Nothobranchius furzeri: one gene and its partner. The protein of the gene in region 1 interacts with the protein of each later gene in a pairwise test. Links are inferred from orthologs where the notes say so. Each region holds a gene or a part of one and is shown in the gene's direction. Other genes may lie near its edges.

Region 1 (4,529 bases):
TGGTTTAGAGGGAGTTTAAATTTCAGATTAAGCCAAGAACCGCAAAAGTTAGCAAGAAAATAGACATTTAAATTTTACTGGTAAAAGATAAGTACATGCAAAGGTGATATTACAAAAAAGTGGCGATAATTTGTTTTTATGTTATAATAAACTGGTTTAACAAATAAGGTTCAGAATTAATAAGGGGACTTGAAAACATTATTTGTAAACAAAAATAAACAAATTTTATTTTCAATGAAAACATTATCCAGGTATGGGTACATATTTAAAAGGACCATTCATATCCTTATATTACAATAAATTCAAATTCATACCATGAATAAGTTTCACACACTTGCAAAGTGCACCAATTATTTCTACACTAAACAACCAGACAAAATGTGTGCCAAGTAACGATTTGAACTGAATTGAATTCTTTATTGTCATTATGCATACACATAACAAAATTTGGTTGGTAGCTCTCAGCTTAAAGGGCACTAAGACCACAAATAGAATATTTTCATTTAAAGAGCAAGTAACGTCTAAATTAACTTTTTTTGCTGATGAACTGTATAAATAAGTGTCTAATAGTGTTTTAAGACGGGTAAGTCTTCACGAAGGTATGTGGGTGGAGGACTCTGAGGCACACTTGACCCGCTCTTTAATTTCATTATCTTCTCATGTTGTTAGAAATCTAAATGTAGTTTTAATTGATATCAGGGTGTACAACCAAACTTGATGAAGTTGTTTACAAGCAATTATTTACGTGAAATTAACTAATTCATTAACCAGGTTTTATTTTGAAAATCTACACCGGATAACAAACACGCCAGTGTCAACAGCTCTACTGAGACGAACCTTTCCCGCAAACAACCCGCCACCCCCGCACAGCCACCGCACTCCGCCTGTACAGAGCCCAGCAGGCCGCGGGGATTTCCCCTCGTACCCGGCCTGGCGGCTCGGAGCGTCGGACAGAGAAGCGCGGACTCACCGTGGGTGCCGGTGGGCCGCGAGGAGCTGCTGCTAACGGAGGGCGGTAGTTCCCGGGGCGCCGGTGTTTCTTCCCCGGACTGGTTGTTGCGTTAAGGCGGAAAGTTGGAGACGAAGAACTGCCTCTTCTTCCTCCTCTCCTGCAGGATGAAATAACTTCCGCACTGTCTGCCGCTCCGTCAAACCTGGAAGTTCAAAATAAAAGACGTCCGGTCACAACTTTGGCGGTCAAACTACAATATTAGTAATACTTTCCTGATAGTTCATTGTAGAAATTAATGAAAAAAAAAGTTTACTTTTGGTTAGTTTACTTCCAGTAGCACTGAAAACACACGATTTTCTGATCATTATATTGGCTCCAGTCTTTTACTGGAAGTTATACCCTGACCTGTTGTGTGTGGTGCACAAATCTGTTGTGTTCACAATAGATAGAATTAGCGTTGGCTCCAATATTTTCTAAATAAGTCCCTATCAAATATATGTATTTCACTTTGAAAATCCAAACCGGAAACAAATGCGTTTGTCTAGCTTTACTCGGGGTCATTTGGGGCCGTATGTACAGTCGAGTGATGTCAAGCTGAGAAAAGAGAAAAAAGAAAACGGAGGTCTCACTCTGAGCAGGATTCAGGAACGAAAAAAAATCTCCAGAAGTTTAACGAGATTGTCATTCTGGTGAATTTCAGCGTGACTCTGCAGGCGAGACAGATGATCCCAGACCACATTCTAGAATAGACTCTATTTTTATTTCCTTTGAATACAGTAACAGTGATTCTCAGAAAGTCTAATTCATTCTAATCAGATCTTTTTTACTCAGAAGAGTTTAAATTCCATCACGTTCTGACAAAGACGGTAACGTGTGTTTGGTGTTGACTCATTTCATTATCTTCAATTGTACTTTGAGCGGGGTTAGGGTTTATTATTCTGGATTATTCTGCAGCAAAAGTAAAAATAACCTTTGAGAAAAGGCTGAAATCATCCAAACTGGTTTCAGGGTTCATATTTACCCCCGAAGGGGTAATTGCAATTTAGTTTTTGTATTGACTCTGATCCGTTATTAAACATTTTCTGGGATTACCAATGACTGGAAAAAAGATTTACACCGCCGGATCACGTGACCAGCCCTTTGACCTGTCCTCTCGCGAGACGTGGCTCGGCTCTACGCGAGATCGTGTCTGCAGCAACAAATCGGCTCCTGAAGACAGTCTGCTCGTTTCTGCGGTAAGAGTCTGATTAACGGGGCGTGTGCGCGACACGCGCCGACAGAGGGCGTGTACGGGGCGCAAGGCGCGTGCATACGTGCCGGGGTGTGTTCGGTGTTGGTGATGAAGACGTACGTGTGTGGTAATTGTGGATGAGAGGAGGATGGAGGATGCTGCAGCTCAGCGGGCGCGACGTGACGTGCACGCGCGAAGCTGCGGTGGCTCGCGCCGGGCGTTCCGGAGGGGGTACGTTCTGGTTCCGGTGGTTTGTTGTGATGAAAGTACCTATCTCCCCCTCCCCCATCCTCCCAGTTCCGGGTCATGCAGGTGACCTTCACAGAGGTCAGAGATCGTTTTGGTCCACCTGAGCTCAGGTTGGAAGTGGGCGGAGCCTGCGCGTGAAGTGTTGAGGACAGGTGTGAGATGTCCAGGTGAGCTCCAGCTGCTCAGTGATGCTGCAGAAACCAGTTTTGTTGCGTCCAGCAGGTGAGGAGAAGGAGTGGCGCTCACCTGTTAGCTCAATCTAAATAAACAAATAATAGTGAAAACAGGGAGTTTAGGAAAAGCAGCAAAAGTGAACGAGTTGTTGAGTTAGGGTTAGGGTCAGGATGAAAGGGTGAATGGTTTTATTTGTTGCTGTTATTAGCAGCAGACTTAACCCTGCAGGTGTGTTCCTGTACCTGAGCTGAACCAGAACTATAGACAACATTTATACAACATACGAGTTGTTTGTATAAAAGGGCCAAATTAAACCAATAATAAAATAATTTATTCAATTAAAACTCTTCATGCTTTATTATCTATGTGCACACTCAGAGGGTTTGATGTGATGTCACTTTTTAGCTGCTGGTCAAGAAGTGTGTGTGTGTGTGTGTGTGTGTGTGGTCGTGTGTGTGTGTGTGCGCGTTTCTCTGTGTGTGTGTGTGTGTGTGTGTGTGTGTGTGCGCGCGTTTCTCTGTGTGTGTGTGTGTGGTTGTGTGTGCGTGTGTGTGTGCGCGCGCGTGTGCATGTGTTTGTGCGCACGTGCATGTGCATGTGTGTGTGTGTGTGTGCGTGTGTGTGTGTTCCAGACGGGTCATGGAGGTGTCATCCCACAGCCTCTTCCTGCTGCAGCAGCTCAACGTTCAGAGAGAATTCGGCTTCCTGTGTGATTGCACCGTTGCCATCGGAAACGTTTACTTTAAGGCCCATCGAGCCGTGCTGGCCGCCTTCTCCAACTACTTCAAAATGATCTTCATCCACCAGTCCAGGTAACCAAACACCTGAGATTCACTGATCCCAGCACTCCCACAGGGACACAGAACATTTCAGGATCTGGTTTATCTGAACCGGATCTGTCCTGCTCTGATCCTGGTTTCCGTTTGTCCGCAGTGAGTGCATCAAGATCCAGCCCACGGACATCCAGCCCGACGTCTTCAGCTATCTGCTGCACATCATGTACACGGGCATGTGTCCCAAACAGCCAGTGGACCAGAGCCGGTTGCAGGACGGCATCAAATTCCTCCACGCGTACCAGCTGTGCCGGAAACCCGGAGACGGTGCTCCTGACGCCACCACCGATGTGGTCCGCATGTCCAACCTGTATGGAATCCAGATCTCTTCTCAGCTGGCCAACAAGGAGACGTCTGGAGCCCCGAAGACCACCACAGTGTCCCGCGGGGCTCTTGAAGACGGGCGGTCCTCTGGGAAGGCCTTACGGGCCCAGCTGTCCCTCGCCGTTGGACTGGAAGGGGTCCAGCCGGACCACCAAGTTTCAGGAATGCGTAACCTCTGCTCAGTGGTGTCGGGAGACGACTCGGACATCTCAGCTCGCATCAAGCAGGAGTGCGTGGAGGAGGAGGACGGTGAGGGGGAGGAGGGGCCAGGGATGGGGCCTCTGTCCCCCGCCCAGTGTAACAGTCCCACTCAGGGACTCCTGTTTAAAGACCGTCCCCTGGTCCTGCAGTGTCCCCGCTGTGGAGAGCGCTGCTCCTCCCCAGAGGGCCTGCGGGAGCACCTCTTTAGCCACGCCCTTGACCCTGCCTGCCTGATGGAGGGGCTGTCGCATGGCGGTGATCTGGATGCCGGCCTGGAGGAGGGGCCCCCGGGGGCCCAGGAGCAGTTAGACTCTGGCTGCCTGGAGGAGGCGCTGAGACAGAGTCAAGCGCTGGCCAACCAGCTAGCGGCGGAGCTGAGGAGGAGCCGAGGGGGAGGGCACAGCCCCGCCCCCACTGTCATGCACTCCCGTAAGCGTAAGATCGCTTGCGCCGTCTGCAGCCTCCGCTTCACCCACAAGAGCCAGCTGCAGGAACACATGTACACCCACACAGGCAAGCCTGGCCGCTACCACCGCTACAACCGCCTCTGCAACCAGCTCTTCCA
Region 2 (3,818 bases), on another chromosome or scaffold:
TGTAAACCATTATATCAAATAGCATGTTATAAAATATGAAAGACCTCTTAAAATGAGCACGCAATTGCCAGTTATTCTTCAAGTTTTATTCAAAATAAGTTTTCAAAACTTCAGCACTTCAACTTTACTTCACAGTAAACAAATGCCTGTGCAAAAAATAAGTATACAACCTGAGCCGATTTTCCCCTCGTGTGAGAATCTAAGAGCCTGCAAGCCAGACAAAAACTAGGAGATAACTGTTGAAGTAGCACAGCGAACGGCTGCGGCCCAAACAGCACCAGAACCGCTCAAGGCGCATGCGCAAACATGGCTCGCCAGCTATTTCCCTATTAACACAAGTCCATTTTAATTTCTACACTTTTTTTTCTCACACAATAACAAGGATTTTTTTCTGGAACTGCGCTGCTCTGGGTGGCTGCATGTTGGAGTAGCTCTGTTGACTATATGTAAGTTTTGCCTTATCTTGGGCATTTTTCCTTCTAGTTTCTCAAGAAAAACTGTATTTTTTTGGACACTTTACTTTTCTGTTTCTGGTGCTGTGAAGCTTGGAGGATTTTTACTGCTATTTTTAAGCTTTTTTCACTTTTAGAGCATTTGTTATGATGCGTAACCATGGCAACAAACTGGTTTGCAGTCGGTGTGTTTGCTGACTTTAGTCTTCCAGAGAGCAGCTCTAGCAGGTAATAAAACATCCACAAACAACCCAGCCCAACATCCGACATGTTTAGACTTTCAGATTTATCTGAAGTGTTTCCTGTGCTTTACTGGGAGACTTTAACATCCCTCAAGGTAAACTGGTTTTATCATTTATATAAAATACACCTGCTGGAATAAACAAAATAAACAACAACCCCTTAAGCAGGTCAGATTACTGATAAACAGTCATGATAAAACTAATTTGAATCTGAAATGAGTTATAAACGTACATTTCTATAACTGCGTTAGTAGCTCGTTAACGCTAATTCCATAAAATGCTGTTTGTATTTTTAACACATGCACACACAGGCAGTGAGTACAATAATCAAAAGGGTATAAACTTGGATAAACCTCCAACCTTATTTTAACATTACTGAGAAAAAAAATACAGCAAAGCATCATTTAACCTGCAGTTATTCACTACTGAAAACCTAGCTTCTATGAGCAAAATAACAACATGAAAAATTAATCAGGAGAGCAGAAAGCACACGCTTCAAAATAAATCAGAATATAGATTTTTGGCCATTCTTAGTAGAAGCTAACTGTTAGCATTAGCAACTCTACCACACAGCAGAACTCCTTCAGGTTTGTGTTATTTGAGGAGAAGACACATCAACGTTGCAGAGCAAACAGACTCGAGGCAGTATTTTAGAAAAAAATACTTCAGAAGCTGCTTGTTTCACAGAAACAGATCAGGTGCTCATGTGTTGCTTTTATTACAGCTTTCTTTTAATTCATAGCAAATTTTAATTTGTGACTTGCTGTGATTCATGCAGGCTGAAATGAAATCTGCTGACTGAGTGTTTTGTTCACTAATCTTTTAAAGGGGCCATATCATGGAAAATCCACTTATTTGGAACCTTTTCCCACGTGATATTGTTATTGCTGGTTTTAGTTCTTATCTGTGTGCAGCGTTTATATGTATTAAGATTTAATCTAGGACTGTGACTGCTGTCATGTAACAGACGTGGTGGTCCAGTGGTTAGAGTGCTGGGCTGGACACCTAAACCACTGGACCACCAAGGCCAATACAGCATCGGACTCGCCTAAGATGCTGTTGTAGGTGGGCTGAGTTTCCCCGAAAACAAACTGTTTTGTTTCTGGGTAAAAATTCAGGCAGATTAAAACGACTCGTATTTAAGATAACTGACTTCAGCTCTCACCAGCATGATATAGAACCTTTAACAAGAAAGGACACCTCACAGATTTGTCAAAGTTTGCTTCTTAGCAAATATGTCAGTGATGTAGATGCATAATTTTCACACTTGGAAGAGTTCAGCTGATATTGAAGAGCGCTGCATCGGCAAGATGAGGTGGACAAAACGGCTGAATGTATATTCATGTAATAAGCAGGACTTAATCTCTGTATTCTGATGTTTTACAGGAAAGAGACAAAGTGATGCCCCTGATCATTCAGGGATTCAAAGACGCTTCAGAGGAGGCTGGCACGTCTGTCACAGGGGGACAGACGGTGCTCAACCCCTGGATCGTGATGGGAGGAGTTGCTACAACAGTCTGCCAGCCCAACGAGTTTATCATGTAGGAATGAGTTCTTGTTACTGATTTTTGTTTTATTTTTGCTCGTTGCATGTTTTGTGTCTCTTTAAAACACCATAATGGTGCCATTTCTCAGGCCAGACAACGCCGTGCCAGGGGACGTGTTGGTTCTGACCAAACCTCTGGGAACACAAGTGGCCGTAGCGGTGCACCAGTGGTTAGATATCGTAAGTTCTGGCGATGGTTCTTTTGAGAAACATCTTGTGATACACACTACTGACTGGACTGTGTCTGCTTTCTTTATCTCCCAGCCTGAGAAGTGGAACAAGATCAAGCTGGTGGTGACCCAGGAAGATGTGGAGCTCGCCTACCATGAAGCCATGATGAACATGGCGCGGCTCAATCGTACAGGTAAGAAGCAGCAGCAGCTTTTGAATAAACTCGGTGTGAGATATTACATGGGCTGTCTACACAACATGGAAATTTCAGTAAATACGTGTTTTACATAATGGTTTTTGCAACATTGTTTATTAAATAACAACATTTCAGCCATAAACTATAAATCTAATTACAGATCAGTGAGTTAATCACCCTGAAGCACATCTAAGCTTCTGTTTGTTCTCTGTTGCAGCTGCCAGTCTTATGCACACCTTCAATGCCCATGCAGCCACTGACATCACGGGGTTTGGCATCCTTGGCCACGCTCAGACACTGGCACGACAACAGCGGAGCGAGGTGTCCTTTGTCATCCACAACCTGCCGGTTCTTGCCAAGATGGCTGCCGTGTCCAAAGCCTGTGGGAACATGTTTGGACTCATGCACGGCACCTGCCCTGAAACATCAGGTACTTGTTTAGGTCGTTAGGTTACTTTACTGGTACCTGCGGGTATGTGTACCTAGTTCTGTTCTGTCTATGCTCTTCCTTGTATATTTTATTTATGACTTTTTACAATAATTTACAACAGCTTTACAAAATAAGTGTCGCAAGCTGCTGAAACTCTAATAACAAAGAACATATATGAGAAAAGGAGTGAATGCTTTGTTTGTTTTATTTAAATATTATACAAGAGTGAACTTGCAGGATGTAAAGCAGAAATTATTTTAAAGACATGGCACATTACAACTCCTTTTTAATATTTCTGATTATAATAATCGGTCACTCAGAGTTTTTCATGCTGGCTGAACATGAAAATAGTCTCCTACACCTATCTCTTGTGTTAGCTTCTGATAGGAAATGGACGGTGAAACGCTAGGATTTGAAAATGGTAAATGACCTGTGTGTGTATAGCGCTTTCTAGGGTTCTACAACCACTCAAGGTGCTTAAAAAATTTGTGACAGATCTACGTCTCACTGTCACTTAACATTCATGGACTCGGTAACCGTGACGGGGAAGGGTGTCGTTGGTTTAACATCCAGGAAACGGTAGTAGAAGCTAACTGTTAGCATTAGCAACTCCACCACACAGCAGAACTCCTTCAGGCTTGAGTTATTTGTGGAGATAAAACATGAACGTTGCAGCGCAAACAGAATCAGTGGTAGAGTGGCGTTGCTGTAATCTAATCTGAGATGTCCAGATATCAAGAAATAAGCCTGGAGCTCATTTGTGATGTGGCTCACTTCTGGT

The links.
Region 2: the proteins of zbtb25 (region 1) and sephs1 interact in binary tests that used the Homo sapiens proteins (3 or more experiments, as listed by UniProt). The two-hybrid records come from large-scale screens. The link is inferred for Nothobranchius furzeri from reciprocal best matches to the Homo sapiens genes ZBTB25 and SEPHS1.

Annotation. Positions count from the first base shown.
Region 1 is NC_091742.1:15,669,640-15,674,168, forward strand, and holds the start of zbtb25 (zinc finger and BTB domain-containing protein 25), read left to right. Parts: upstream 1-1,431; 5' UTR 1,432-2,331; coding exon 2,332-2,414; exon of another isoform or gene 2,415-2,591; coding exon of another isoform or gene 2,592-2,599; exon of another isoform or gene 2,600-2,654; intron 2,655-3,238; coding exon 3,239-3,418; intron 3,419-3,539; coding exon 3,540-4,529. UniProt on the Homo sapiens protein: May be involved in transcriptional regulation.
Region 2 is NC_091744.1:72,586,904-72,590,721, reverse strand, and holds part of sephs1 (selenide, water dikinase 1), read left to right. Parts: intron 1-2,080; coding exon 2,081-2,235; intron 2,236-2,329; coding exon 2,330-2,420; intron 2,421-2,504; coding exon 2,505-2,604; intron 2,605-2,824; coding exon 2,825-3,037; intron 3,038-3,818. UniProt on the Homo sapiens protein: Synthesizes selenophosphate from selenide and ATP.